Linked DNA regions of Notamacropus eugenii. Each later gene encodes a partner of the first gene's protein in a complex. Links are inferred from orthologs where the notes say so. Each region holds a gene or a part of one and is shown in the gene's direction. Other genes may lie near its edges.

Region 1 (7,830 bases):
ATACCTCTTAGAGCTGTTGTGATGAAAATACTTTGTAAACTTTAAAGGATTTTAAAAATGTAAATTGTTGTGTCTATCTCATGGGACTCCTTTATTTCCCTTATAGGTCCCCCTCCCCCAGGAATGCGCCCACCAAGACCTTAGGATTCCTCAACTGCTGTGATGCTGCCTCTGAGATGAGGCTGTATATAGTTTTGTGGGCTTTTTGTATAAAGTGTGCTCCTTTTAAATTGATTCATAATAAACTCTTGGGCAAAAAAACCTGCAGTTATTGTTGGGTATTTTCTGTGCCTGTTGGAAGCATTGGGAGGGAGTGCAGAATTTAAACCCCTTAAGACCACCCTGGCTGTTACGTGGGCTGTCCTAGAGGAAGTAGTTCTTACATCTGAGTTACCTTTGTTCCTTTTTTATTCATCTGGATGACTTCAGATGCTTCCCTCCATTGTGATAACCATGGATTCAGTTCCCTGCTTTTCCCTATTAGTTTTTTATAGCTTTATCCTTGACTCTTTTAAGTCAGAAGTTCTTCTAAGCCTTCATTTTCTTTTTCTCCTATTTTCTCAAATTTGCTTATTCTTTAGCAGTTAACCAAAATAAATGAGAATGCTGAATATTCCTTAACTTAAAAAGTCATTATCTTATTCATTGTATTTGGGAGTTTTTAGTTTTCTCATGGAGAAAAAAAATTAGTCATAGCTCAACTTCATATATTGTCCACCTGCTACTTCTATAACACAATCCTGGATAATGGAATTCGGTGTATGTTGTCTTTAATTTCTTCTGCATGGGGAAGGAGTAATCATCAAGAAAATCTTCAATCATCATGTGAAAAACCTCGAAAGTTCATGCTTTGCCCTCAAGGTTCAGTTATTATCTGCTCAATCCATTTCATTATCTGATCTAAATTATTCTCTAGTTCTCCTGGTACATTGCTAGGCAGCCAGTGTACTACTTCATGGTTGTGGGAGGCCATGGCTTCTTCATAAAGAATTTGGAAAATTTTACTAAATATTGTCCTGTTATTTCTTTTTTTAAAATTTTCAGTTTACAACATTCAGTTCCACAAGCTTTTGAGTTTTAAATTTTCTCCCCTATCCTTGCCTCCTCCCTTCCTAAGACAGCATGCAGTGTGATATAGGCTCTCATATACATGCATGTTAAATATGTTTTCACATTAGTCATGTTTTAAAGAAGAATTCTAACCAGCAGAATGAACCATGAGAAAGAAGAAGCAAAACAAAAAAGAGAGCAAACAGCATGCTTTGATCTGCGTTCAGACTCTATAGTTCTTTCTCTGGATGTGGATGGCATTCTCTGTCCTGAGCCTTTTGGGGTTGTCTTGGAACCTTGCTGAGAAGAGCTGTCTGTCGAAGTTAGTCACTGCACAATGTGGCTGGAACTGTGCATTATATTCTGGTTCTGCCCCCCTCGTCATCCGTTCATATGAGTCCAGGTGTTTCTGAAGTCTGCCTGCTCAGCATTTCTTACAACACAATAGTATTCCATTACATTTATATGCCGCAACTTGTCCTGTAGTTTCTTTACACTGTATCCCCTCTTTTCAAGTCTTGTATAAAATACAGAATTATCTGTTTGAAGCACAAAAACTATTATGAAACCATGATTGAGGGAAGAAGTCACAGCCATGGTAATCAATAACTCCACCTTCTTTCATTTTGTTTTCTAACTCAACTACTCTGTCTTCATCCAAAGTGGGACATACATATTTTTCATCAAAGCCATTATATAACTGTCCTTGTGCTAAATTGCCCATATGAACGAACAAAGGGATAGTGAGGAGAGAAAAGGAGGAATTCAAACAGTGTGAATGGAGACCACTGAGGAGACCTGATTGAATGGGATGTTAAAGAAAGTCTCAGGAATAGCTTTTGTGAAGAAAAGAAAGCTCTTTGTGCTGTAGTTGAAGTACCTTTATTTTTAAAGGGCAGACTCAAATAATTCCTATCACTCTGGTGGCTCTTGATAACATTACAATAGGGGAAGTTTATCTTTGACAATCTCCTCTTTACTTTTCTTCTCAGATACCCAATACCCTTGAAGCCCTTCCGCTCACCTTTGCAGTGTTTCCTAGGTGATGTTTCATATCCATTCCTCTTTTAACTCTCATTTACCATTTTTACCTCTCACCAGTGGCTTGTTCTCATCTGTTAGGGAGGAAAACTAAATGGTAGAATCAGGATATTTGAATTTGAAGAGACTTTTAGACTATAGAACATACAAAGTCAGAGCTGGAAAAAACTTAAAAGGTAAAGTGCTTTGACCAGGCTTGCTTCCTAATAAGTTCCAGAACTAGTATATAGGAGCCCAAGTTTTCTCTTCCATTTCTTGACTCATCATTTTCAACAACTGTTTAAGACCCTATTATCTGCATAGCCCTGTAAGGCTCTGGAAGAGATCTTTGAAGTCATCTAATGTAATCTAATTATAGATGAGGAAACTGAAGGTCCCAGATCACATAGAGGGTTAGTTGTAGTGCTGAGAGTAGATGCCAAGTCTCATTTCTAGACCAGTACTTAGCAATAGTTACTGACCTAACTCTAGAACTAGCTGTTAGGTTAGAGTTGATATAAAATGAGAATTGGGCTTGCTGATCCCTAAAGTCCCTTTTAGCTAACAGTCTTTTATTTTAAGTTGTATTTATTACCATTAGATCGTAAACTCTAGGACAAGGCCTTGTCTTAATTATCTTTTTATCTCCATCCATAACCTGACAAACTATGCAAAGGATAGCTGCTTAACAAATAATTGTTAATTGAATTAGCAAGTTAATGAAGTAGGATGAATGAAAAAGTGTTGGGGAGACCAATGAGGCATTCATTATCTGCTTTCTAGGAGCTCATATTCTAAAGGAGGAGATGACATATAGGGAAGGTTGTAGGTAATTGTCCTTTGTTTTTGAGGAGGACCAAAATGACCTCACTGTGTTGAGGTCAAGGTACAGTGTGTCTGACAGTGACTGATCAGACCAATTTGAGCTCGGAAGGCTCAACCACAGATCTGGCACAAATGGTGCATTTGAACATTTGGAATGGAGATGTCTCTGGATTTATGCATCTCATGTTTTCTTTATGCTACTGAGATTCTGCTTTTCTTATAGAGAGACAGTGCCTTCTTTGATGCAGGCACTTCATGCTAGGCAGTCCTGTACCTGTATCTCTTCTTTCTCACAATTGATACCAAAGTTTAGATCAAAGGCCCAAGGTCCCCCAGTGCATCCTGGGTCATCTCCAGTCATCCTGATGAATATCTGTCACTGGATTCAGATGGCTCTGGAGGAGAAGTGAGGCTGGTGACCTGCACAGCCCTCCCTCATTCAAAACAAAGTCAAGTGCAAGTCATGTCATCATTTCTCTGATGGCATGGTCATCTTTGGCAACAAAGGACAAACAAACAAAAACCAAAGTTTTTCAGAGGGACCTTGAGAGTGTCCTTGTTCCTCCTGACCTCCATGTAAGAGCTTGCTTTATGTGAGTTCTCCATAAAATAGTCTCTTAAGAAAAAGACCTATTTGTACAAAAATATTTATAGCAGCTCTCTTAGTGGTGGCTAAGACCTGGAAATCAAAGGGATGGATGCCCATCAATTGGGGAATGGCTTAACAAGCTGTGGTATGTGATTGTAGTGGAATATTATTGTGCTATAAGAAAGGACAAGCAGGATAATTTTAGAGAAACCTAAATGAAGTGATGCACAGCAAAGTGAAGTAAAGAATCAGGAGCCGGTGATACCCGATAACAGCAACGCTGTGCCATGAAGAATTGTGAACGATTCAGCCATTCTCAGCAATACAGGGATCCAAGACAATTCCGAAGAGTGAAACAGTGTCCACCTCCAGAGAAGGAACTGATAGTGATTGAATACAGACTTGAGCAGGCTATTTTTTCACTTTCATTTTTTTCCTTTTATTTGAGTCTTCTTGTACAAAATGATTAATATGGATATGTTTTACATAATTGCATATATATGACCTTAATCTGAGTGCTTACTGTTTCAGGGAATGGGGAGGAGAAAGGAGGAGGGATAGAATTTGTAAAAAAAAAAAAAAAAAGTCAAAACTTTAAAATTTTTTTAAAAATAGAAAAAATAGTCCTTTAGGTCAACGTCCTTTTGGCATTTGAACAGGCCAGACCACTGGCAGCTCCACAAGGGTGGCTTCCTGGGGGGCCGGGCTGGGTAGAGTGGGGGGCAGGCTGTCAATCCTGAGGCGCACTGGGGTCTTGGGCGGTGCTCGGACTTGCTCTGAGCATGGCCCCGGCTTCGGGCGGGCTGGTTTTGTCCTCCGTTCGTGGCAGACGGCGGGCACGTCCGGCCCCTCTCCCACAGCGTGGCGGTTGTGGAAGCTGGCCGCAGGAAGCTGCCAAGGCCCTCCGGGTGTCTGAGCTGCACACGTGGGGGGGTGACCACCCTGGGCAGCCGGACCTGGCGTCAGAGCGACTCCGGCTCTGGTTCGTTTTCCCGCTGCGTGACCCTGGGCCAGTCGCTCAGCTTCGCTGGACTCAGTTTCCCCAGCCTCCCGGAGCTGCCTGTGTGTACAATGACAGGCATGTCGCAAACTAAAGCGCTACGTAAGTGCCGGTTCGTGATGATGATTAGAACTGATGGTCACTAGTTACATGATTCTGGGCCAGTCCTCACCTATCTGAGCTTCAGTTTATAAGTCGTAAAGGGCGCACAATAACATCGGCGCTTGTTGAGTGCGTTTCATAAACAGCGGAGTGCTTCATTCATTCGAGCTGTTCTAACTAGTGTGCCGGGGAAAACTATAGGGACGGAACATGAAGAACACGGGCCTCGTAAGCCGGGAGGCGGAGCCGGAAGTTCACCCAGCCGGAAGTTCCCCTAGCCGGACCGTTTTTGCCAAGGGCTCATTTCCGGCCGCGGGCGCGGGAACTGGAGTTTTCGTCGGTTTGTAGGCCCGGCGGAGGCGAATCCGACGCGAACCGGGGCCATCTCAGCCGCCACCATGGTGAGGGAGGGCCGGGCAGCCATCTGGGGTGGTCCTGGGAATGGCCCCGAGTGGGGGGCGCAGCCAGTCGACCGCCGAGTCAGGGGGCTGGGGCCCAGGTTTGGGGAGGAGGGCGCGGGAGGCCGGGATTCTGAGGGGGGGGAGGGGAGAGAACGCGAGGCCCGGATTGGGAGGGGGGAGGGGAGGGCTTGCGAAGCTGGGGTTCTGAGGAGGGGGAGGGTAGAGAACGCGAGGCCCGGATTGGGAGGGGGAGAGGAGGGCTTGGGAAGCTGGGGTTCTGAGGAGGGGGAGGGGAGAGAGCACGAGGCCCGGATTGGGAGGGGGGAGGGGAGAGCATTCGAGGCTGGGGTTCTGAGGAGGGGGTTCAGAAGGAAGGCCGGGTTCGGGGCGGGGTGTGTGATTGTGTGTCACGGTTCTGAGTGCCATTCATAGTTGGCACTGAGAGCGGAGTGGTGGCAGGGCCAGGATGGGGACCTTGGGAAAGATGGCTGGGGGAGTGCTGGGAGACGGAGGGATTAAGGTGGGAGGTCCTGGAACCTGGGAAAGGTTAAAGGTGGGGAGGTTTTTAGGACTCACTGGGAGGTGGGCTGGAGGACTAGATGGGGTCTGGAGGGGGATGGGTTGGAAGAGGAATTAGAGCCAAGGGGGCCTGAGGGTTAAGAATGGGGAGTGTAAGGGGTGGGGTTTGTCAGAATTAAACCTTTTTACCATTTACTGCATCTCTGTCGTTTTACACCCGAGAAAAATCCTGGCCCCCAATTTTGGACCTACTGTCCCTTAGCTTCTAGGCCTCACTAACTCAACCTTAAGGTCAAATACAGCGAGTGAGACCTGATTCAGAATAGGAGCCCAGATCTTCTGACTCTAAATCAGTTCTTTTCCCGTAACACTATTTGAATCCTACTTTCCCAGTGTAATTACATTCTGTTATATCCATCTTATCCTCTCTCATGCATTTAAAATAATATTTGTTGAGTGGGCACTATATACCAATTAGTGTGCTGAATGTTGCTAACGTATCCCTCAGGTAGCCGAGATATTGGGTTTGTCAGTCAGATGATTTGGGTTTCAGTTCTAGTTCCATCACCAACTTACTGTGTTATCTTGGACAAGTCTCTTAACCTATTCAACTGAGCCTCAGTTTCCTTTTCTGTAAAATGGAGGTAGATATCTTTGCACTGGTTACGTCTTTATACTCTTGGGAAGGTCAGATGAGATAACTGGATTATGTATGAAAACAACACAAGCATCCAGTCCTCTATTTTTGGTCTGGAGGGAAGGAGAATGAAGAAATCCATTGTTAAAAAATGGAGGTGATAGAAGGCTGTTTCAGGAATCAGAATGTTGTCTGGGGGAATCTTAGAACAAAGAATGCAAGAACTATAAAGAACATTATAGCTAATTTCATGTAAACCACTTTACTGAGCAGGAATCTGAGGTTTGGAGTGGGGAAGTGATTTATCCAAGGTCAGGTCTAGAACCTAGGTCCCCTGACTCCAACCTTGTTTGCTTCCCTTTATGCTAGTCTTCCTCTGGGAGTGTAACTGAGAGAGAAGTAGAGTCAAGGAGGCATTCCGATTTTAGTATCTTAGCCACTTTTTTCTTGCTTCCCACAGACGGTGGGCAAGAGCAGCAAGATGCTGCAGCACATCGACTACAGGATGAGGTGCATCCTGCAGGATGGTCGCATTTTCATCGGCACCTTCAAGGCCTTTGACAAGCACATGAACCTGATCCTGTGTGACTGTGATGAGTTCAGGAAAATCAAGTGAGGAGGAGCCCTGGTGGGAGGGGAGCAACCCAGTTCACCCAGCAGAATATTGTGGGGAGGGACCCAAGTAGCAGGTGGTATAGTTTAGCTGTCCCCTGTCTGGCTGTGGCCTAGATGTGTTTCTTGTGTCTGTGTGGTTGTGTCCTTTTTTTGAAGAAAATCCAGCTGAGTTTCCCCAGTGCCCTCTGAATGCTGCCTTCCCCAGGAGTTCAGTTGTGCTTGGAACCCCTTGGCTTGAGAGCTGTGTTTCTGTTTTTCTTTGTTTGCCCCCTTGGGGTAAAGGGCTCTCGTGTTCTCCCCACAGGTTTTTAAGGGGGAGAACTTGCTTTTCTGTCCTCATTGCCTCTCTGTAAGGCTGCAGCCTAAACGGCATTCCCACCCAATACAGCCTGCTCTGAAGCAGCTTTCAGGAGCCCCTGACTCTCTTCAGGGTAAGTGCCTGGCTTCACCACTTGGGTTAGTGTTTGGGGCTAGTGATTTAGAATAAGAGTTGGAAGAGACTTTCAGCATCATTTACTGCGACCCCTTATTTTATAGAAGAGAAAACTGCAATCCAACAGTGCTAAGTGACTCGCCCAAAATCTTAGAGTAGTAGCAGAGCAGATATTCAAACCCCAATTCTGTGACTCCTGCATCCAATGTTTTTCCCATTATACCAGGCTCCCTTCTGATTTGTCATCTGCAAAAAAAGAAGTAGTGAGAGACAATGGCTAAATGCTGCCCCTTGTGTTTTCAAGTTATTCACTATGCCAGTTTTTCAGTAAGAATCTTGTGTCTTAAAGCTAGAAGGACTTCAAGATGATCTGGTTTAGGTACTGCCTACCCTAAGACAGCTAAGTTATTTCCATTATACAGATCAGGCAACCCAGAGAGGATAAATGCCTTACCTATGGCCATTAGTTTGTTAAATGGTAGTGGTTGGGTGGGAATGACTAGAACCCAGGTCTCTTGCTTCCAAGAGTAGAGCTCCCATTTTCCTTCCTTCATTCAACCTATTAATGACCTTTTGTTTCTTTTAGGTCTGTGTTTTTTTGTGTGTGTCTGGCTTGAGTGGAGAGAATCTAGGATGAGG
Region 2 (8,003 bases), on another chromosome or scaffold:
CTTTCCAATTCACTTTACTTGTATCTCAATTGTCCTTGACCATCCTAGAAGGATTTTGGTGATTACTTTTCCATTTCCAAATCTCACAATCCTGTGACACTGGAACAATACTCTTAGAATAGCAAGGCCTTTGTTGGACTAGTTAGGTGAATTTGAATTTCTGTTTATTTTTAATCTAGCCCTGGATTTTTCACTTCCATCCAGGGAGGTTGAGTAGTTTATCACTCAATAAATTCATGCTTAAAGGAAATGATGTGTGATATTTAGGGGGTCTAAGTGGGATACCTGGTTGTCATGAGAAAAATTGCTATGAATGTATGTTCTGTGCCTGATTGCTGAGGGTGGTTAAATAAGGTCACAGGACTAATGAAGCCAAAATTTAAATCCAATTTTTTTAGTTTTCATCCTTCTTGACCTCTCTGCAGTTTTTACTGCTTGTTATTGACTACCTACTTCTAAATATTTCTGTGACTTTCCTGTTTCCCTTCTCTGACCATTCCTTCTGTCTCCTTTGGTGGATTATCCTCCATTTTATGCTCTCTAATCAAAGTTTCCCAAGACTGTCCTAGGCCTCCTTTTCTCTTTTCTCTCTGCATGTACTCTTTTGGAGATTTCATTTGCTTCTACGAATTTACTTATTATTTCTAAACTGATAATTCCCAGTCTGTAAACCCAGTCCAAATCTTTTGCTAGAACTCCACTCTGCCAACACCTTGTGGAATCTATATATCCAAATATGCCCCCAGCATCTCGCATATTCAGTGTGTTCAAAAAAGAATTCATCCCTTACCACCAGCTACTCCCCAACTCAAGTGTCCTCTAAACTTTCCTGTTTCAGTTGAACTGCTGTATAATACTTCTAGCCTCTCAGGCTGGAAACCCTGCAGTCATTCTAGAGTCTTCACTCTTCCTTACTCTCCATATCTAATTAAGTTACCAAGTCATGTCCACTCTATTTCTGGAATTCACATTCTCATACTTACATACTCTCCTACAGCTACAACCTTAGTTCAAGTCCTTATCACCTCTCACCTGTGTTGTTGTAACAGCCTCTTAAGTAGTCTTCTTAATTTCGGTCCCTTCTGTCTTACAATAATTAAAAAAAAAAAAAAAAGCAAAAATCTGGTTGTGACACTCCCCTTCTCAGAAACCTTCAGTGATACTCTATTGCCTTGAGGATAAAATGCAAACTGCTTCATTTAAGATTCCCTACAAGCTGACTCCATTCTAGCTTCCCAGCCCTTATTTCACATTAGTTCCCCTCTGTTATTGCAAAATTGGATTACTAACTTGCTCTCCAAACTTGACATATCATCTTCTACCTCCAAGCATTCAAATAAAGTATACTCAATGACTAAAATATGCGCCCTTTTCAATTTTGTTTTTTGACTCTTTTCCTTCCTTAAGACTCAGTAACAGTGGGGAGTTGTACCTCTTGGTTTGCTCCATGTCCAGTGGCAATAACATTTATTCAGCACCCAATATGGACCCAACACCGTGCTAAATAATGGGAATATTAAGAAAGGCATCATAAAAACAAAAATCCAGACACCTCCCTCTGCTAGCTTATATTTTAATGGGGGAGACAACATACAAACAACTGTGTACGAGATAAATTTGTTATATTATCAGAGGAGAGGCACTAGCATTAAGGGAGCCAAAGTTCTGTAGAAGGTGGGATTTAGCTGGGACTCAAACAAAGCCAAAATGAGACTAGAGGCATACTAGCAATAGGGATTCTCTTGTTCAAGGAAGAGCAAGGAGGTCAGTGTCACTAGATTGAATAGTAAGAAGAGATAAGGAAGGTGTAAGAAGACTGGAAAAATAGGATGGAGGCCAGGTAATGAAGGACTTTGAGAATCAAAGGTGATAGGTGGAGGTGATAGGGAGCCACTGAAGTTTCTTGGATGGGAATGGGGTAGAAGCATAACAGGGTCAGGCCTGTTGTTCAGAAAGATCAATTTGACAAATGAATGGAGTAGGGAGAGACAAGTCAGGAAGACCATCCAGCAGGCTATCATAATAATCCAGGTATGAACTGAAAAGGATCTGGCCTAGAATGGTGGCAAGGTAAAAGAAGAAGGGGGCATATACAAGTGAGGTTATAAAGATAAAATTGACAGGACCTGTCAACAAATTGGATATGGAGGTTGAGAGAATGAGGAATCAAGGATGATACCTAAGTCGTGAGTCTGGCTAACTGGGAAGGTGATGGCGTCCTCACCAGTAAAACAGAATGAGGAAGAGTGGAGGACTTGAGGGCAAGGGAAGGAAGATAATGAATTTCATTTTGAACATGATTTTGAGTTTAAGATGTCTACTGGACATCTATTTTGAGATGTCCAATAGACAGTTGAAGATGAGAAACTGGAGCTCAGGATAAATGGATAAATAGATCTAGGAATCATCAGCATTGAGATGATAATTGCATTCACAGGAGCTGATGTGATCACCAATATTATATTATCCTTTGTTTTTGAAGAGTTCTAATTTCATCATGGGATGATGATTGACTTTCTCATGGATTTAGGAAGCAAAGTTGCACAACCAAAATAAATAGAGGAAAAACAGGCTTCAGCACACAATTTTGGGGGTTTCACATCAAGTACCTACTATGTGCCAGGCACTGTACTAAATCCAAGAATTAAAAATATGTTGTTCCTACTTCTAAGAGCATACATTTTAATGGGGGGGGGGAGCAAATCTATATATAAATATGACAAAACCAAAGTTAATAAATACAAATACATGCAAACAAGTTAAATACAAGAAAGTTTGGGGAGAGAGGACCTTAGCAATTGGGGTACCAGTAGTAGAAGATTATGCTTTTGTTATGGCTTTTTAACTTGGTCTTTATCAGAGGAGAAGCTGTGGGCCCACAAGTTGCTGATAGACTCAGAACTGCTCACTGGGACTAGGAAGAGTATATCATTTATTTGAAGAGAGGAATTTCTATAGAGAACCACTGGCAGTTGGTCACAAATGGGGAAACTGAAGACAGTTCGGTTCAATCTGTCTTTATTACAGTACATGCAAAAAAAAAAACCCAAAAAGCCTGAGTCCCACTAATAAAATGACTATCAGTATATTATGTGCTTGGCTAAATATGTGTGACATGGAAAGTACAACTATAAATGGGTCTTAGTGTACATATGTCTGTGACATATGAAAGCTTGAGAAGGCAAAGACTAAGAAGAGCTAAGGACATGTAGAACAGTCCTACAATACTGTCCCAGCATACTGATTATGAAGTGTGGGGGCTGGAGAAGGAAGAATTATTGGCTAGTTTAAAGGTTTAAATATAGGGTCATGTTGGTTGGGGACCAATAAAGACAGAATATTAGTACAACAACCACTTTTCTCCTATAGGACTCATAGATATCCCAGCTGTCCTGTGAAATCAATTCCATGTGTTTCTGATAAAGGCCTCATTTCTCAAATATATAGAAAACTGAGTCAAATTTATAAAAGCACAAGTCATTTCCCAGTTGCTAAATTGTCAAAGGATATGAACAGGCAGTTTTCAAAGGAATAAATTAAAGCTATCTATAGACATATAAAAAAATGCTCTAAATCACTATTAATTAGAGAAATGCAAATTAAAACAATTCTGAGGTACCACTTCACACCTATCAGATTAGTTAATATGACAGAAAAGGAAAATGATACATGTTGGACAAGATGTGTCCAACAAAATTGTTGCATTGTTGGTGAAGTTGTGAACTGATCCAACCATCCTAGAGAGCAATTCAAACTATACCCAAAGGGCAATCAAATTCTGCATACCCTTTGATCCAGTAATACGACTTATATGGCTGTATCTCAAAGAGATCTTTAAAAATGGAAAAGGAGTTCCATGTATGAAAATATTTATAGCAGCTTTTTTGTGATGGCAAAGAATTGGAAATTGAGGGGATGCTCATCAATTGGGGAATGGCTGAACAAGTTGTGGTATATGAATGTAATGGAATACTATTGTGCTATAGGAAATGATGAGCAGGATGATTTCAAAAAAATCTGGAAAGACCTATATGAACAAATGCTGAGTGAAGTGAGCAGAACCAGGAGAACATTGTAATAGCAACACTGTAAGATGATCAGCTATGATTGATTTAGCTCTTTTCAGCAATAACAATAATCCAAGATATTTCCAAAAGACTTGTGATGGAAAATGCTAACCACATCCAGAGAAGGGCCTATGGAGTCACAGATCAAAGCATACTATTTTCACTTCGTTTTTTATTTTTTCTTTCCCATGGTTTTCCCCTTTTGTTGATTCTTCTTTTACAACATGACTAATATGGAAATACGCTTAACATGATCGTACATGTATAACCTATATCAGATTGCTTGCTTTCTTGGGGAAAGGGGAGAGACAGGAAGGAGGGGAAAACACTTGGAACTCAAAATCTTATAAAATGTTGAAAACTACATATAGTTGAAAAAAGTACTATTAAGAAAGAAAAAATATTTGTTATATGAAATGACCCTCTAAGAAAAAGAGAAGAAGGTATACTGGGGGAAATTATTGTGATTTTTTTTTTTAAAAAAAAGGACATCGTTTAAAAAAATAAATTTGACGTTTATTTTGAGTTGTCCAGTTGACGGTGGAGATGAGAAACTGGAGGTCAGGAAAGAGGTTAGGGCTGGATAAGTAGGTCTAAGAATCATCAGCATAAAGATGATAATTGAATCCACAGGAACTGATGTGATCAATAAGGTAAATAGTATGGAGGGACAAGAAGCTCCAAGACAGAACCTTGGCGATTATTTTTTTAAACACGAATTATTACAGGAAGGTCACCCAGTTGTGGTGGAAAGATCCCAGAATGTATCTTAGTAAATGATTTTCTTCCCATATCACTCGCTACATAGTAATTTTGTCTCGCGTCGTTCTATCTCCACTGCACAGGACAATCCTTGAATATGTCATTAACCAAGTTGACCTCAGCCACCCCAACCCCCGAGCCCAAAACAACGCCTGCGCAGTGAGACTCTGGAACTGGGTAGCAGGCTATAAGCTCCGGCCAGCCTCCAAGTCTCAACCCTAAGGTTCCGAGCTTTTCCCCTTCTCAGGCTGCAGCTGGGGGAGCTGAGGCTGGTGTCTCTTCCTAACCCGCTCGCGCCTTCCGCCCGCCGCCGCACGTGCGCACCCACCCGCCCCCCGCGCCCGCGCGCGCCGGCCTTGGGCTCGGACTCGGGTGGCAAAGATCGGCGGCCCACACTCCCCCGCAACCCCAGCTAAGCCGCCCCACCTCCTCTCCCGGACCCGAGCCGCGGTGCGAGGACCATGGTAGGGGCTGTGACGTCATAGGCGGGGGTACCGCTTCCCGAAGAGACCGTTGACTCGGTTCGGAGGCGCGGGGACGGGAGGGTAGGGGGGAGGGACTCCCCCTTCCCCGGAAACTGGGAAGGGTGCGGGGTCGGGCGGTTCGGAGAGCCCAGGATTCGAGCCCCAGCCCTCGCCCCCTCCCCCCCTCGGGCGAACCTCGGGCGCTTCGCCTCCCCCCTCTCCGGGCCTCAGTTTATGCCTCGTTTAGAATTAAAGGGTTAACCCTTTCTGCTCTTTCAAAGCTCCCTTGGGACCTGAATTGTGGATGTTGAAGTGATAGCGAACGTGTACAGATAGTGCTTTCCGTCGGTTAACCAATTTGGTGGGTGCCAGTGAGGAAAATGAGGCACAGACTTGATGGTCACACAGCTGGCAGAATTTGAACTCGGTTCTTCCTGACTCCGAGTCTGCCCTTCTGTCCACATGGGCCACCTAACTCATCCCCGGCGCTTTAGGTACCCCTCTCCTCAACAAGTAACAGTACAGGATGTCCCAAAGTTTTAGTCCGAAATAGCAATGAGACTTTGGGGACATTGTGTAATGGACAATTGAGAAATCTGCAGCCCATTATTGCCATTAAATGGTGGTGGTCCTTGAGTCTTAAGGAGAGGGTAATACTCCTGATTGGGGAGGAGGTGGAGAGAGGACAAAGGATGATGTACTGGAAAGGAACTGTTAGAACCACAGGATATAGAATTCTGCAGCTGGAACGGACCTTAGAGATTTTTATCTTACAGGTGTGGTCATTGGGGTTGATTTGGCCAAGTTAACAGAGCTAGTAACTGGCTTGTATTAAGTGCTTACGATGTGCCAGGTACTGTGCTAATCACAGATGAAAATGTAAGCAAAAAGCTTGCTTTTTAATCATGGAACTACACGTGAAAGGAGGACTGAAGGAGAGAGGATGGAGGAAAGCAAACAGCATCGTGCTCCAGAAAATGTGGGATGACCATCTGGGCTCTTCCCCCAAATGGCCGTTTTGAAAAGAATTCATCAATAAAAGGAATAGAAAATGGGTGATCAGTGCACCTCTGCCCCATTTCATGATTTTTTCCCCCCTTTTCCTTTCTCTCAGCTCTTCTACTCCTTCTTCAAGTCACTTGTGGGAAAGGATGTGGTTGTGGAACTCAAGAATGACTTGAGGTAATGTGCACAGGAGCAACCGAGGAGTCTTCCTGCAGAGCTGAGGAAGGCAACTTTGCTGAATTTCCACAGAGGTCTTTTGAAAAAAGGCTTCTTAATTAATGTTGTGTAACTTACACTCTGCAATAGGCACTGGGTGCAGCATACAAGAGTACATGACATATTTCTGCTTTTAAGCTTTACGGTCAGAATGGGAATATAAGTCTTGCAAAGGGGAGAAATTCAAGAATACAGTACCAAACAATATGTTACCAGATACTAGATGATGTGGTATATTAAATATGTTTTAAAGGAATTCAGGGAAGAGAAAGGTCAATATATTAGCTGGACCTTGAGAGACGGATAGAACTTGGATAGGCATGGAGATCATAGAATTGAGATAGAAATGGACAAGAGATTTCCAGGTGAAACACTGAGCAGAGGGCTAATGAGCACAGTGTTTTCAGGAGACAGCCAGTCAGGTCTGACTGGTGAAGAGTTTAAACTTGATTAGGCACTCATTGCTTCTTGCCTGAACTATTTCAGTAGCATTCTAATTAATCTCTCTGTCTCAGGTCTCTTATCACTCCAATCCATCTTCCCACACAACTACCAAAGTGATTTGCTTAAAGTATAGGTCTGACCATGTCATACCCCTCCTTCCCCAAACTCCAAAGGCTTCCTGTTAACTCCAGAATCCTGTATAAAGTCCTTTGTTTGACATTTAAAATTCTTTACCACCTAGCCTCTTCCTACACATTGTGAATTTTACAAGTTAACCATTCTAGTCTGCTTCTTGACTTTTCCCAAGTCACTCCCCACTCCAATCCATCCTTCACACAGCTACCAAAAATTATATTCCTGAAGTGCAGGTCTAATCATATAATTCTGTGGTACCCCCTGCCACTTCCCCCTAATTAACTCCAGTGGCTTTCTGTTATCTGCAGGATCATGTATAAAATTCTTTCTTTAGCATTTAAAGCTCTTTGTAACCTGGTCCCTTCCTACCTCTCTAGTCTTCCTAAATATTATCTCTTTCCAACAACTCTACGGTCTAGCCATTCTGACCTACTGGATCTTCTTCACTCCAGAATCTCCTCTCTGGGTGCCTTTGTACTGGCAGTCCAGCATTCCCTGAATGTTCTCATGTCCAGTTCTGGCTTCCTTCAGGAGCTCAAGCACATCCCATCTTTGGAGGAGGCCTTTCCTGATCCTTCCCAACTGCCAGAGCCTTCCCCTCTAAGAGTACCTTCCATATACTTTGTATCTTCCATATACTTGTGTATTTCCACATTGTCTCCCTTACTAGAATGTAAGCTTCTTAAGAATAAATAGGGGCTGTTTTTATCTCTAGCACTTAGCATGCTGCCTAGCACATTGTAAGCATTTAATATACATGTTTGCTGATGGATTGGTCATATGGATGAGAATTCATTGACTTGACATTTTTGCTATTGAGGACAAATTTTAGTAGCATGGAATCCAGAGTTGTAGAGTAAGGCTTATATAAAGGACAAAGTGAGTCCTAGGCAAAACTGTAAAGAGGGTG
Region 3 (7,403 bases), about 250 Mb from region 1:
CCCCCATGACAGCCCCAAGGTAGGGCAGGTCACCACTTGATTGGACCAGCTGGTGACTGCTGTCCCCAAGAAGCCTGGGAGGGACAAGTACAGGGATGGGGGAATATGGGTGACTGTCATTAATCCAATGAGTGGCGTTGCACCAGACCCTCCCTTTTCCTCTCTGGGCCTCAGTATCCTCCTGTGTAACAACAGTGGCAGAATTTATGTAGCACTGTAAGGTTTGCAATGCAATCCATACATATTCTCTCACCTTGCAAAAGCCCTGTTCCATACTTATGATATCCTCTTTTGACAGATGAAGAAACTAAGGCCCAGAGGTATTGATATAGTCAATAATTGTTAGAGCAAATGCCAGGCTTTGATTTAAAACCAGGTCCTGGCTTATGGTTGAGAAAATAGTTTCTTCACCGGTCAATAAGGAAGCTGCCTGGTAGGGAAGAATGCACCGGTTTTGAGGTCAGAGGTCTTGGGTTCAAATCATGCTCATGAGTTGTGTGGCCTTGGACAAGTCACCCTTCTTTGGCCTGCTTTCTTATTTATATGTAAAATAAGCAGGCTTTCTAGTAGATCTGAGGTCTTTTCCATTTCTAGATCTAGGATCCTATTAAATTATGGTAATAATAATAAACATTAATAGCCCTTTTGAAGTGCACCATTATCTCATTTTATCCTCACAACAACTCTGGGAGGTAAGAGCTGTTTTTATCCCATTTTACAGATGAGCAAACTAAGGCTAAGTGACTTGCTCAGGGTCACACACCTGGTAAGTGTGGAAGGCAGGATTCAAATTCCAGTCTTCCTGCCTCAGAAATCCGATGGTCTCATCCCATCATTTTACAGATGAAGAAACTGAGACCCGAAGACATTCAGTAACCTATTCAATCAAGGTCATGGAACTAGTAAATGACAGACAGAATTGGAAGCCAGGTCTTCCTGATGCCAGGTCCAATTTCCCAGCTTCTCACTCCCCAGTTGTGAAACCCTGTGAATAACTGAACCTTTTGCACCATCTGGAAAAGGAGGGGGCTGAACGTCATGGCGTCTTCCACATGTGGTGCTCAGGGCTCCCACTACCTACAGCAATTCCCCCTCCCTCTTTTTTGTAGGGTCACCCAGTTATTAAGTGACACCAGCAAGCCCTGGAGCCCAGGTCTTCCTGACTGTAGCCCAATGTTCTATCGGCTTCGAGGCCCCCAAAGATGCCAGGACCTGCCCAGCCACACACAGCTAGTTAGAGGCTCCTGGGGCGTAGACCCCTCTCGCTAACTCTCTCACCCCGGCTCCCAGTGGAGGACCCAGGCCGGCTCAGCCTTGCCTCGCCTCGCCGTCTGGGTAAGTACACCTGCTGGTCTGGCTTTCGGGGCCTCGTAGGGCCCGGGGTGAGTCGCCTCCGAACCTTCTCCTTGGCTGCCTGCTTCATCTTCTTGTCGTAATTATCTCTGCGGGTGGGACGGAGAGGGATTATGGGGAGAGGTCAGGGATCAGAGCGACCCCAATGAAGGAGGCCTCTGGGGAGGGGGTGGGGGGTTAGGGGTTAGGAGAAGGAGAGGCAGAGACTAGAGGGCTGGATCTAGGAGTAGGGGATGGGGAAGGGGCCTGAGGGCAGAGACTAGGAAGGGGTGCGGGGTTCCAGGGGAGAAGGCGAGGGACAAGGGACAGGAACCCAGGGGCTGGAAACCTGGAAGGGACCGGGGGAGAGGGGTCTAGAGTAGGACAGAAGGCAGGGACCTAGGCTTTTAAAGGTTTGGGGCAGAGGGAGGGGGTGGGGGAGGGACCAGGGGGCTTAAGTGGGGGGAACAGGGTTAGGGACCCGGAGGTAGCTGGAAGGTGGGTAGGGGGCAGGAGGAACTGGGTCAGGAGGACAGAGGGCGGGGACCCCGGTGGAGGGGGCGGGGAACGGGCCAAAAGGCTCAGACTAGTTCAGAAGGCAGGGGCCCTGGGTACAGGGGCTGGGGGGGAGGGAGGATCTGGGGCTGGGAACCGGGGGCAGCGAAGGGCGGGTGGGGGCGCGGGGAGAGCCCGAGGCAGGGTCCGGGCCCTGGCCGGGCCGCACCGGGCGATCTGGTTCCGCCGGATGTGGTGCACAAAGCCGTGGCTCATGTCCAGTCGCCCCCCCGGTTTGCAGCAGCAGCGCCGGCCCGGACCCGGCTCCGCTTCCATTGGGGCGCTCCGGGAGCTCCGGGGGGGGGAAAAAGCCAACGCCGCCCCCGCCGCCAGAGCAACCGTCACTCGCGGAGGCCTTCCCCTCCCCCGGCCCCCTGCCCGCCCGCCAGCTCCCCGACTGGCCCCGCCCCTCTCCGTCCCCATTGGCCGCTTTTCTCCCCACCTCCCCCGCGGTCCCAGGGCTGGCCCCGCCCCCGTGCGAGGCGGGGGCTAGTGCTCTCTTCCTTCGCCAGTCTCTTCTGTTTACTTTGTGTACACTTTGTAAATACTTTGTATTTACCCGCCTCTGTGTGCGTCCCTATTCTCCCCACCTAGTATAAAGGATTGAGGGAATGAAGGAATGTTATTCAGCACTTTCCACTGTGCGAAGCGAGGGAACTGCAGATGGAAGACAGACAGTTTCTGATCGCTAGCAAATCCAAGGAGTCCATCAACGAGAATTCTTCAAGTGCTCTGGGTTTGCCAGACACTCCATTAAAAGTTTGAGATAAGAAAGGCAATAAACGTCCCCTGCCCTCAAGGAGCTCTTGAGGGAGAGACAACGGGCAAACAACTATGTATGTAAGTACAGGATCTTAGGGGTCAGGCAGCTGCAGTATTGCTGACAAGGCCCAATAGAACTGTAAGTTTCTTGAGTCAGATATTGCCCTCTTCCCCCATCACCAGGGTATCCCGAGCTCCTTAACTTGACCTTTGCCCCAACCCCACTTCTGTCCTCAGCACAGACTCCTCTTTGCCAGTCTAGGGCTTGGAGATGGAAGAGAGACAGAATCTCAACATCCATTCTAACTCCCTCAATTCAATTTACCTTAACAAGGCACAACTTAAGAGACAGACACAAAGAAAACAGGCCTGCTTTCAAGGACCTTACCCACTCATTTTATAGGTGAGGAAATTAAGGCCCAGTCAATCAATTAATCAACAAACATCATCCAGTGCCTACTATATGCCAGATCATGCATGTCACCCCTATCCCCTCTCACTAAACTCCAGCAGCTTCCTATTTGCCTCCAGGAGAAAAAATGGTCTATTTGGCATTCACCTCCCCAACATCTACTCTTCCATACAGTGATGATGCCTTTCAGGCTGTTCTATGAACAATCCTCCATCTCAGTTTCCACCATTTGCTCTGACTCTCCCTTATGTATGAAAAACTTTTCCTTTCTCTGCTCTAACCTTCCTGACTTCCTTTAAGTCTCCACTAAAATCTTACATTCTACAGGAAGCTTTTCTTGACTCTTCTTGATTCCAGAGTTTTCCCTCTGTTAATTATTTCCCATTTATCATGTGTATAGCTTGCTTTGTATATATTTTTATGTTGTCTGCTTCAGTAAAAAGCTTGAGGGGAGGGGCTGTCTTTTGTCTCTTTTTATATCCCTAGTGCTTACTTAGCACAGTGCCTGGCACTTAGTAGGCATTTAAGAAATGTTCTTTGAATTGAATCAAATAATTCCTTTGGGGACTACCCAGCTTTGAAATAACTTACTGTCTAAGAGTTGGGAGTGATTTTTTCAACCCAACAAAAGTTATTTCCTATGAGTCCTCATCTCCTTTTATACAATGGTCCAAAGACCCTATGATCTTTTTTAATTGATTAAGGACTATTCATATGGGGACAGTGGATAGAGTACCCAGCCTGAAGTCAGGAAGACTCATCTTCCTGAGTTCAAATCTGGCCTCAAACGCTTACTAGCTGTGTAACCTTTGGTAAATCACTTTATCCTGTTTACCTCAGTTTCCTCATTTGTTAAATGAGCTGGAGAAGGAAATGACAGACTATTCCAGTGTCTTTGCTAAGAAAACTCCAAATGGGGTCACAAAGAGTTAGACATGACTGAAAGATGACTGAACAACCAAAATTCCTATATCTTTTACTTTTGATACGATGAAGCCTTCAGACTGTCCTGTGACTAATTTTGGTGGGGTAGGCTGGACTCCTACCCATATATATTGATCATAGCTCTAGAGATGGAAAAGACCTTGGACCTCTAGTCCAATTTTCCACATGGATAAACTGAGGCCCAGAGAAATGTGAGTGACTTGCTCCTGGTCACACAAACAGTAAATGTCAGAACCAGGATTTTAGTTAAGGGCCAAAGACTCCAAGGTCAAGGCCCAAGTCAATCACAAAGAACTGGATTGTTGTAGACACTCATTCTTTTGGTGGGAACTATGATTTCACTGGTGTAGGGAACTAACTTCTTGACAATCAGTCTTTTTTTTTTTTTTTTTTGGTTTCTGTTTTCATGTCATATGCTTAATTTTCTCATTTTCCAAATGAATACCTTTATTTGTCAATCAGTCTGTTGACTTTTTTTTCCCATACTTAAAGTACTATTTGTCATACGGGATGGCTCTCAGGGAGGGGAGGGGCTGTTAAAATAGTGATGTTAGAAAGAGAAAACATAAATCAAAATTATTTTTAAAAAATTGGGCAATGGGATGTTTTCGCTGCCTCCATCGCAGCCTTTGAGGGACAGGACAGCATCATTCCATTATGCCTCATCAACCTAAGTAAAAATTTCTCCAGTCCTATGATGTTACCCCAGCATCTTGGGCCACTTAAGGGCTATCTGGCCCTTTAAATAAGAAACTGTGGATGATGAAGATGATTGGCCCATTCAGCGTCCGGAGCGGTGGGGCGGGAACCAATGAGAGCATCCAAGAGTCACACACGGAAGCCTGGGAAGCAGGTTTGTAGATGCGGGCCACAGCGCTAGAACCCTCGAACAGACGTTGCAGCGGATTGGCCAGAAGCGCTGCGGCTGATTGGCCAGCTGTGCTGCGCAGGCGCGGCACCGCGAGTGAGACCTCTGCGCCTGCGCGGAGAGGCGGCGGGGGCCGGTGGCCGGAGGGGATGTCTAGCCGTTCGAAAAGGGAGACGCGGAGCTCCGCCCGGGGCAAGCGGGATGCGGAGTCCCGGAGCAGCTCCAGTCGGTCGAAACGGGAGAGGGAGCGGGATTCGGACGGCATGGGGTCTCGGGGGAGCCCGGTGCGCGTGAAACGGGAACGGAACTCGGAGCCCGCGGCGCGAGACTCCTCGGGCGGGAGCGTGCCCGCGCTCGTGCCCGCGCCGCCGCTAGTGGGTTCGCGCGTAAAGCGGGAGCGCGAGGCCGACGAGGACTCGGAGCCGGAGCGGGAGGTGCGAGGTGCGCGGGGCCGGGACCGGGGCGTCCCCCATCCCCATCTCCATCCCCATCTCCATCCCCATCTTGCCAGCCCGGAGCTGGAAAGAGCCTCTGAGGACGGCCATCCTTTCCCCTTTTTTGTCCAGATGGGGAAACTGAGGGCCAGCAAGTGCTTGCTCCCTGCCCGGTTCTCGGGGTGGGGAAACTGCCCTGCCCGGCTACGTCATTACCCGCTAACCACGTGCAATTTAAATCCAGAGGGATGTCAGGGAGGAGAGGAAGGTCCTGGTCAGGTGGCGCAGTCCAAAGGGGCCTCGGATAGTGTCCGCTTGAACGGAACCTTGACCAAAGTTGGGGTGACATCCTGCCCGTCTCAGCGCCGGGGCTTGGGTGCAGCCCACCCTAAGCCTTCCCTGTGTTCTCTGCCTTCAGCCACATATTCCCTCCAGGGTTCTGGCCCCCGTGCCTTCCTGTCTTTGCTAGTGATCGATTTTCGACAGTTTTACTTTTTCCTTACTTGTTTGTGTACATGGGAGAGGAGGAACGCTAGACTTGAAGTCGGGAAGCTCAGGTCCCTCTGATCCTGGCCCTGGGGGACTGTGGGCTAGTCTCTTAATGTAGGCTCTCTTAGAGAACGTATATTAGAGCTAGATGGATGTTGGGAATTTCGACGCCAAAAAAAGTTGTGTCCTGCAGCAAAATGTAAGCTCCCTCTGAGGATAAGGGACTCTTCTATTTTTGTGTGCTCAGCGTTGAATACATTGCATTGTAACTAAAGGCGTGTTAAAAAAAATTACCTTTTCTTTTGTCCTTAAAAACCATCATAGATCATAGGTCAAGCGGGGATCTCAGAGGCCTGTCCAGTTTACTCTCATTTATAGAAGGGGAAACTGAGGATCAGGGAGGTTGAGTGACTTGGAATATGATATACAGGTAGTAAACCTCATAGATAGGACTTGACTCCAGATCTTCTGATTCCAGAACCAGAGTTCTCTCCACTTTTATAGCATTATCTAATGTGATCTTTTTTTACTTTTCACTCTTAGTATTATTATCGTCACTTTAATTCAGCTCAAGCAACAAACATTTATTAAACACTTACTATGTGCCAGGCACAGTATTGTGTTCTGGGGGTCAATGACAGAAATAAAAGTCCTTGCTTTCAGGTAGCGTATATTCTTTTGAGGAGATTTAACATATAAGGAAAAAAAGTGTGTGTAAATCATTTAAAGGTTTGCAGAAAGTAGTGTACAAACGTTAATTTGTTTGACACAACAGTCCCATGACGAAACAATCAGGTGCTATTATTTCATTTTACAGATGAGGAAACTGAGGCTGAGAGGTTAAATGACCTGCCCAGGGTCACTGTTAGGGTCTGAATTAGGATTTGAACTTGGCTCCCAGGCTTGACAGGTCCCTCGTGCCACCTCGCTTCCTAGATTAGATACTCTTAAGGGTGGGGATGGATGAAGAGTACATCTATATAAGAAAGGGTGTGACGAGGGCCAAGGAAGCATTTAGATAGAATGCTATAAGAAATTTGTGGAGAGAAGACCTTCTAGTTGGGAGGATAGGGAAGTCTGTAATAAACAGAGGCCACCAGAGCTGGGCTCGTAAGAACATTTTTTCAACAGGAGAAGGTAATATGTTCTAGTTCGGATGGATCGTAAAGGAAGTAGAATGAAATAAAATTGATCAGGTTAAAGTAAGTTGGAGTAAGATTCTGGACAGCCTTATATTAGAAGCTAAGAATTGGATTTTATCCAATAGGCCCTGAGGAACCAGTAAAAAATTTTGATGGAGGCAGCATATTGTAGCTGGGGCACTGGATTTAGAGTCAGAGAGATCTGAATTCAGATCCTGGTGCAGACATACGAGCTATGTGACCCAGCACAAGTCACTGATGCACTTTGAGGCTTCACTTTCCTTATCTGTAAGATGAAGGGATTGGACCTAATTGCTTCCAAGGGTCCTTCCAGTTCTTACTGTGCCCTGTGGGTGACTTGTGCAGGAGGAAGATGGTTTAGCAGTTCTGTGGAGGATGGATGGTAGAGGTCAGAGGCCTGTGCCCTGGCCCAGTTCAAATGCCATTAGATGATGGTGAGAGGT
Region 4 (7,543 bases), on another chromosome or scaffold:
ATGTAAGCTATAATAGCATTGATGCAAGGAAATCCATTGAAGGAGAGAATTTCAGAATGTGAAACAAACTTCGAAAGTTGTGCTTTTCAAAGTTGGCTTACTCTCATTTTCCCCCTTTCCTTATTAGGGGTTTCTCTGCAGAGGCTCAAATGACCAGGTCCATGGTCATTATCTTTAAGTGGAATGATGAACCCAAACTTCAAGAAAAAGTAAAAGTCCATTATAGAAAGGAACTTCTCCAAACTATTACCAAGTCTTATCATTTCTTCTTATGCAATGCTTTTCTTTTATGTCCCCTTTTCTCCACTCTTACAGGCACCACTCTGATGTAGATCTTCATTACCTCCCACCTGTGCTGTAGCAATTGCCTTCTGGCTGGTCTCCCTGGCTCCAGTCTCTCCCCACTCTAGTTCATCCTACACTCATTTGCTGAAGTGATTTACATAACGTGCAGAATAGATCATATTACCACAGACCTCCCCACTCTCCAGCACCCTCCACGCATACGCACACTCAAGAAATTCCAGAAGCTTACCCCCTACTTTCATGATCAAATATAAACTCTGCTGTTTGGCTTTAAAATCCTTCACAATCAAGTTCTTTCCTAGTCTTCCAATCTTCTTACACTTTACTGGCCTCTACAGAATCTATGATCCAGTGACACTAGCCTGACTATTTCATCTTCTAATTATATGCTTTCAACATTGTACCCCATCCCCAAAATGCCATCTCCTCTTCACTTCCAGCTCCATATTGTCTCCCTTAGAATGTGAGCTCCCTGAAGGCATGGGTTTTTGTATATCCAGCATCAGCGCAGTGCCTGGCACATAGTTTTTAACATATGCTTACTGACTATGTGGACTGTGACTTCTGGAGATCCCTAAATATAATGTGTCTAAGACCACAGCTGAACTGAGGCCTTCCTGACTGAGCCTAGCACTCTATCCATTGCATCACCTAAGTCTAAGCTATTAAAGTCACACAGGCATTAAGAGGCCGAGGCAAGACTGAACCCAGGTGCTCCAGCTAAATAAACAAGTGCTCTTCACATTGTTCCATGCTGCCTTTACCTGCATCACGGACGGACGCCACTACTAGAAGCTTACAGACAGGAAAAATGTCACCAGCACCAGCAACCTCTACTACTACTACAACAGACTACTAGCATCTGTGAGAACCCAAAGGGAGGCTGCTGGTCCTATTCCTGCTGAGTTGTGATCCTAACAGCATGATTATGTTGCACACTCCCTTTGGTAAAATGCAAGGGGAGCTCTGTACTTGAAATTTGGTGACAGTGGCAATCTTCTCCAGTATACTTCCTATAATCACAGAATGTTGTTTTTCTTTGGGGAGTAGGGGGTTTTTTCTTCTACATCAGTAGACTCATGAAATTCAACACTTTTTGGCACTGTGAAAGACACCAAGATGAATATTGAAGTCCTTGCCCTCAAACTGCCTCTAGTAACGGTTCCTAACTATTCTGATTGGAAATCTATGAAAACAGAATTTGAAGGCAATGTGGTAAGGAAACGAAGACACAGAGAGCACTGACCCAAAAGTCTTAATGAAGATTTAGAATCTTTTTTTTTTTTTTCCTTTTCCAGATTTATTTTCTGTTCTAAAGTATGGCATTCAACAAATTGTAAAAGTTCTTTCTCAATGCTATTCAATGTATATTTTTGAAAAAAAATCATATGTAAAAAATAAGTACAGAATAAATCAAACACACTAGCTGCAGAACTTTCCTGATATTTTTCCTTCTTGTGTGAAGATTTAGAATCTTAATGCAGATTTAAGCTATGAAAGATTAAAAACTTTAAGTTACTGAAGCTTAAAACTGAACTAAGATTTTTGGAATATCCTGAATATGACTCAAAGACTACTTCCAAAAAGCTTACAATCTATTAGTCCTGGCTCATACAACAGACCAGTGGTTCTCAAAGTGTGGGTCTAGGACATAAGAGTCTCCAAAACCAATTAAAAAAAACTAAGTTTATTAACCTATGAGGTTAAAACTATTTTCATAATAATACTGATGTTTTAGTTTCTGATATGCCAAACATAGATATAACCCACATGAATAAAAGCTCTTAGGGAAGGGTCCTCAGTATTTTTTAAGACTATAAAGAGGTTCCGAGACTAAAAAGTTTCAGAATCCCTGCTACAGGCCATTTGAGGGCAAAAACTGTTATCTTCATTTTTATATCTTTCACAGTGGTTCATTATAAATAAGCAGCATTCAAATGTGCAGACTCAACTGAATGAATTTGCTGAATGCTAAGGCCTCACATAGGATAGCTCTAGATTTGTGGGTTTTTTCCTTTTTATCTTAATCTAATTCACCACTTCCACCCTAATTCCTAGCCAGAAGGAACCTTAACAGATTCCTAAGTCAATCCTCCCACCTGTCCTAAGGAGCACAGCGAATTTGCTTCTTCACAGCACAGTTTTCAGGTGTCTAAATGACAAAAATCACAGAATTTGAAAGTTAGAAGAAGCTACAGAATACACTTAGTCCAACCCAGACCTAGACAGAAATCCTCTCTACAATATCCTCAATAAGTGGTTTATCGAAGAATTATCATGAAAGAGAATCCACTATTTCCCTACACAAGCCAATGGGGTAACTAATTTTGAGAGGTTTTCCTTACATCAAAACTTACATCAGTATTATCATTTTTCAAATGGAAGCTTTGAGATGTGCCTGGTAGGGTTTTTATTCAATCAACATTGATACATGTTTTGTCAAATGATTAACATAAAGTCAGGAATAGCAGTAATTAACTTAAAGAGGATGATTAAAGTGAAGGCTTCCTACTTCATGAAATTATTTGGGAGCACAATCAGTACTAAATAGATTATAAATTTATACATTATAATACACAAATGTGAATTTATGTATTACAATATGAATGCAAATTCATTACGAATATATGAATATAAATTGATATTAAATATAGGATTTAAAAAATATGTAAGGGCAGCTAGGTGGAAAGACTCATCTTCAGGGATTCAAATGTGGCCTCAGATACTTAACTAGCTGACCCCGGGGAAGTCACTTAACACTATTTGCCTCCGTTTCCTCATTTGCTAAATGAGCTGAAAAGAAGGAAATAGCAAACCACTTCAGTACAGTTGCCAAGAAAACCCCCAATGGAGTCAGAAATGATAAAGATAACATATTAAACAGAGGACTTTTAAATACATAATTCACACAAGATCACAAAGGAAGCCATTTACACTGAAACAGTTACCCAAACCTATGTTTCCAAGGTTCGGGAAGCCCTGCCTGGGTCAGCACTAACCAGGTGGTGCCGCAGCCTGGGCTGAGCCCCGACCCCGGACGAGTGATTTCATCTGTCGGCTTCGGTTTCCTCGCATGTAAACAGAGATAATAATAACACCACCGGGGAGTGACTCGGCGGGTCTAGACCGAAGGAGGGAAAGGGGGCCAGCCGAGACAAAGCCTCAAGTTACACTCCAGCAGGTTCGCCGCAATAGCGCGACCCCGTGCCTTGGCTGCCTCTGGACCCGGGGACATGGGCACGGCACCCCGGGTAACCCTGAGTCCCCAAGGGCGAGGACTCCGAGGAAAGGGGCGGCTGCACCGCCCGGGGAGGGCCCTCGAGGGGTCTGGCAGTGACCTTGCGCCTCATCCCGCGGCTGAGAGCACCGCGGCTGCGGGCCGGGCCCGTCACCCGGGCGGTGGGCAGGAGACCACGAAGAGCGGTCCGAAAGGGCAGGCCCACGGCCGCGATCACCGCCACAGGCAGCATTTGAACCCAGGTCATTTCTAGACCTAATTTCGCGGCTCCAGGAGGCTCCAGTGGCTCAGGCCGAGCAGCCCGGCCTCGGGGGCCCTTCCCGGCAGGCCTCGCGGCGGGGGGGAGGGGGCGCAACTTGGAGGCCTCCTGAGCGCGTTACCTGCTGGAGGTGCAGCTGGGCCACGAGCGCCCGCGGCAAGTGGAGGAAGCAGTCCCGGGCGTGAGAGAAGGCGATGGTGACGGCCACGACCCCTCCAGCCCCGGCGCCCTCGAGACGGCCACCGCCCCACATCGCGAGCGAGCGAGTGAGCCAGAGAGCCAGAGACTGACGGGGCAGAGCACCGATCCGCGCCAGGCAGGAGGCGTCGAGCGCCGAGAGGATCGATCGACAACCACCACCCCCGGCAGCCTACTCGCCCTAGCGTCGCGAGGGGCGGGACTACCGAGCCTCGTTACCGCGCCGCCACAAGACGGCGCCTTCTCGCTTTCTCCATCCCCTCCGGAAGCGTCAACGAGCGCCATCCGTACTCGAGCCAATCCTAGGACGTCGCTGCCTGCCTGACTCTCTGATTGGATGAGAGGGATAGGGGTCAGGCGGAAGCGGTTAACTTGGAAGGAAGGCCTAGTGGGAAAGGATGGCGGACGGCGGAGGGGAGCTGGGTGGCTATTACCCTCACCATGCGCAGCGGGCTGTTTGTGACTCGCGGGCCAAGTATCGGGAGGGGCGGAGGCCCCGCGCCGTTAAGGTGAGAGAGAAACCCCCGGGCACCCCGGCTTCCTCTGGCCAGGAGCGCCCGGTGAGGCTTAGGTAGTGGCTAGATGGGCGGACCGCGGAGCTGCTGTGTTCGGCTACGGTGCCCGGGCCGTGGAAGAGGGACGAGTCCGGTCGGGCCGCAGTCGCCGGCCGGGATTCGAGCTCAGAGAGATCAAGCCCCGCCGAACCTCCCTAAGTTGGTAGGGTCAGTTGACTGGACGGTTCTGTCATCAGCGCAGCCTGGAGAGGGGAGGGCAGGCGACAGCGCTGTCATTCCCGTTTTGTGGATGAGGAGACCGAGTCCCGCGGCTACAAGTGTCTGAGTCTGGATTCAGAACCGGCTCTGCCCCCATCCCGCTCCTTCCCTCCCTGCGTCCTTGTCCGCTCCCTCACACACACACCGTACACACACACACACACCACACACACACCACACACACACACCGTACACACACACACACCGTACACACACACACACCGTACACACACACACACCGTACACACACACACACCGTACACACACACACACACCGTACACACACACACCACACACACACACACACACACACCGTACACACACACACACCGTACACACACACACCGTACACACACACACACCGTACACACACACACACCGTACACACACACACACACCGTACACACACACACCACACACACACACACACACACACCGTACACACACACACACACACACACACACCGTACACACACGCACACCACACACACACACCGTACACACACACACACACACACCGTACACACACACCACACACACACACACACCATACACACACACACCATACACACACACACACACACCATACACACACACACCATACACACACACACCATACACACACCATACACACACACCACACACACACACACCATACACACACACCATACACACACATCACACACACACACCACACACACACACCATACACACACCACACACACCAAATACACACACACCACACACACACCATACACACACACACACCATACACACACACACCATACACACACACACACCATACACACACACACCATACACACACACACACACACCCCGTACACACACACACACCATATACACACACACACACCCCGTACACACACACACCACACACACACACACACACACACACCATACACACACACACCATACACACACACACACACACCGTACACACACACCATACACACACACACACCATACACACACACACACACACACACACCATACACACACACACCATACACACACCATACACACACACCACACACACACACACCATACACACACACCATACACACACATCACACACACACACCACACACACACACCATACACACACCACACACACCAAATACACACACACCACACACACCAAATACACACACACCACACACACCATACACACACACACACCATACACACACACACCATACACACACACACCATACACACACACACACACCCCGTACACACACACACCATACACACACACACACACCATACACACACACACCATACACACACACACCATACACACACACACACACACACCATACACACACACACACCATACACACACACACACCATACACACACACACACCATACACACACGCACACACCATACACACACGCACACACCATACACACACACACCATACACACACACCACACACACACACACCATACACACACACCATACACACACATCACACACACACACCACACACACACCATACACACACCACACACACCAAATACACACACACCACACACACACCGTACACACACACATACCACACACACACACCACACACACACACACACACACACCATCCAATCCACCCTCTCCAGGAAGGCATCCCCACTATAACACACCCACCCACCTGGGGTCATTTAACTTTTGTCCTGAAGACCCCCATCCACCTGGGCAAGCCGCTCTACTTGTTAGGAAGCATCAAACCTACTTTTGCAGCTCCCACCCATTGATTCTGCTTTTTCTCCCTTAGGCCAAACAGAACAAATATAATCCTTTTACATGACAGCTCTTTAAATACTTTCACACAGTTGTCCAGCCACAGTCACTAAACATTTACACAAAGCCTACTGCTGTGTGCCAGGTACTTTGCTAAGTTAGGGGATGTTTTCAGGGACTTCACAATCTAATGGCAGTGACAACATACAAACAAATGTGTACAAACAAACCTACAGGATAAATTGGAGATATCTCAGAGGGAGGACTAGAATTAAGGATGGAGAAAGGCTTCCTGTAGGAGGTGAAATTTTAGCTGCGACTTGAAGTTAGGAAGCACAGATGAGAAGAGAGCATTATTAGTCTTTTTCTTCACAGCAACACTTTTCAGATGCTCAGATCCTCTCCCTGCTTTCTAAACAGTCCAGGTCAGTCTGCTCAAGGAGATGTGTGAAGAACAGGTGTATAAAGATAAGCAGGGCTCTGGGGAGAAACTTCCCCTTCTACTATGCCAAAAGATCCATAGTCCATTAGTATGTTGAAAATCTCAGATTACTAGAAACAAAGTAGAGCTGTCATCGATTGGGGAATAGGCAGACAAATTGTGCTGCACAAATGGACTGTTACTATGCTGCAAAACGTGAATGACTACAGAGAGGAATGGGAAGATGTGAACGGAGGTAGAGTGAAGCAAGCAGGACCAGGAAGGCATATCAATGGACTGCAACACTAATTAATGGAAAGTACATCCCTTAAACTAAATATTGCAAAATTATAATGACCAAACTTAACCCCAAAGAAGAGAGAACATACCATTCTTTGTAGAGGTCAGTGTGGAACAGTACGTATAGTGCCCTACTTTTTCAAATGGTGGTTAATTTTGCCAAACTCTTTTTATTCTGTATTATTTGGGATTGCTCCCAAGGAAGAAAAAGAAGGGATACATGGGAAATTGTAGGTGTTATACAAGCAAAATATATCAACAAAATTTTACTTTAAAGAAAAACCTAC

The links.
Region 2: SNRPB (region 1) and LSM2 share a complex: the UniProt entries of both Homo sapiens proteins name them as parts of the U4/U6-U5 tri-snRNP complex. The link is inferred for Notamacropus eugenii from reciprocal best matches to the Homo sapiens genes SNRPB and LSM2.
Region 3: SNRPB (region 1) and USP39 share a complex: the UniProt entries of both Homo sapiens proteins name them as parts of the U4/U6-U5 tri-snRNP complex. The link is inferred for Notamacropus eugenii from reciprocal best matches to the Homo sapiens genes SNRPB and USP39.
Region 4: SNRPB (region 1) and RBM48 share a complex: the UniProt entries of both Homo sapiens proteins name them as parts of the minor spliceosome. The link is inferred for Notamacropus eugenii from reciprocal best matches to the Homo sapiens genes SNRPB and RBM48.

What each region holds. Positions count from the first base shown.
Region 1 is NC_092872.1:476,068,881-476,076,710, forward strand, and holds the start of SNRPB (small nuclear ribonucleoprotein-associated proteins B and B'), read left to right. Parts: upstream 1-4,828; 5' UTR 4,829-4,984; coding exon 4,985-4,987; intron 4,988-6,603; coding exon 6,604-6,755; intron 6,756-7,830. Other genes in the region: small nuclear ribonucleoprotein-associated protein N, read left to right, coding at 107-144. UniProt on the Homo sapiens protein: Plays a role in pre-mRNA splicing as a core component of the spliceosomal U1, U2, U4 and U5 small nuclear ribonucleoproteins (snRNPs), the building blocks of the spliceosome.
Region 2 is NC_092873.1:85,494,370-85,502,372, reverse strand, and holds the start of LSM2 (U6 snRNA-associated Sm-like protein LSm2), read left to right. Parts: upstream 1-4,985; 5' UTR 4,986-5,290; coding exon 5,291-5,293; intron 5,294-6,407; coding exon 6,408-6,475; intron 6,476-8,003. UniProt on the Homo sapiens protein: Plays a role in pre-mRNA splicing as component of the U4/U6-U5 tri-snRNP complex that is involved in spliceosome assembly, and as component of the precatalytic spliceosome (spliceosome B complex).
Region 3 is NC_092872.1:726,461,827-726,469,229, reverse strand, and holds the start of USP39 (ubiquitin carboxyl-terminal hydrolase 39), read left to right. Parts: upstream 1-4,385; 5' UTR 4,386-4,867; coding exon 4,868-5,315; intron 5,316-7,403. Other genes in the region: C1H2orf68 (UPF0561 protein C2orf68 homolog), read right to left, coding at 1,279-1,442, 2,057-2,163.
Region 4 is NC_092874.1:47,883,664-47,891,206, reverse strand, and holds the start of RBM48 (RNA-binding protein 48), read left to right. Parts: upstream 1-4,543; 5' UTR 4,544-4,583; coding exon 4,584-4,718; intron 4,719-7,543. Other genes in the region: peroxisomal ATPase PEX1, read right to left, coding at 3,925-4,056. UniProt on the Homo sapiens protein: As a component of the minor spliceosome, involved in the splicing of U12-type introns in pre-mRNAs.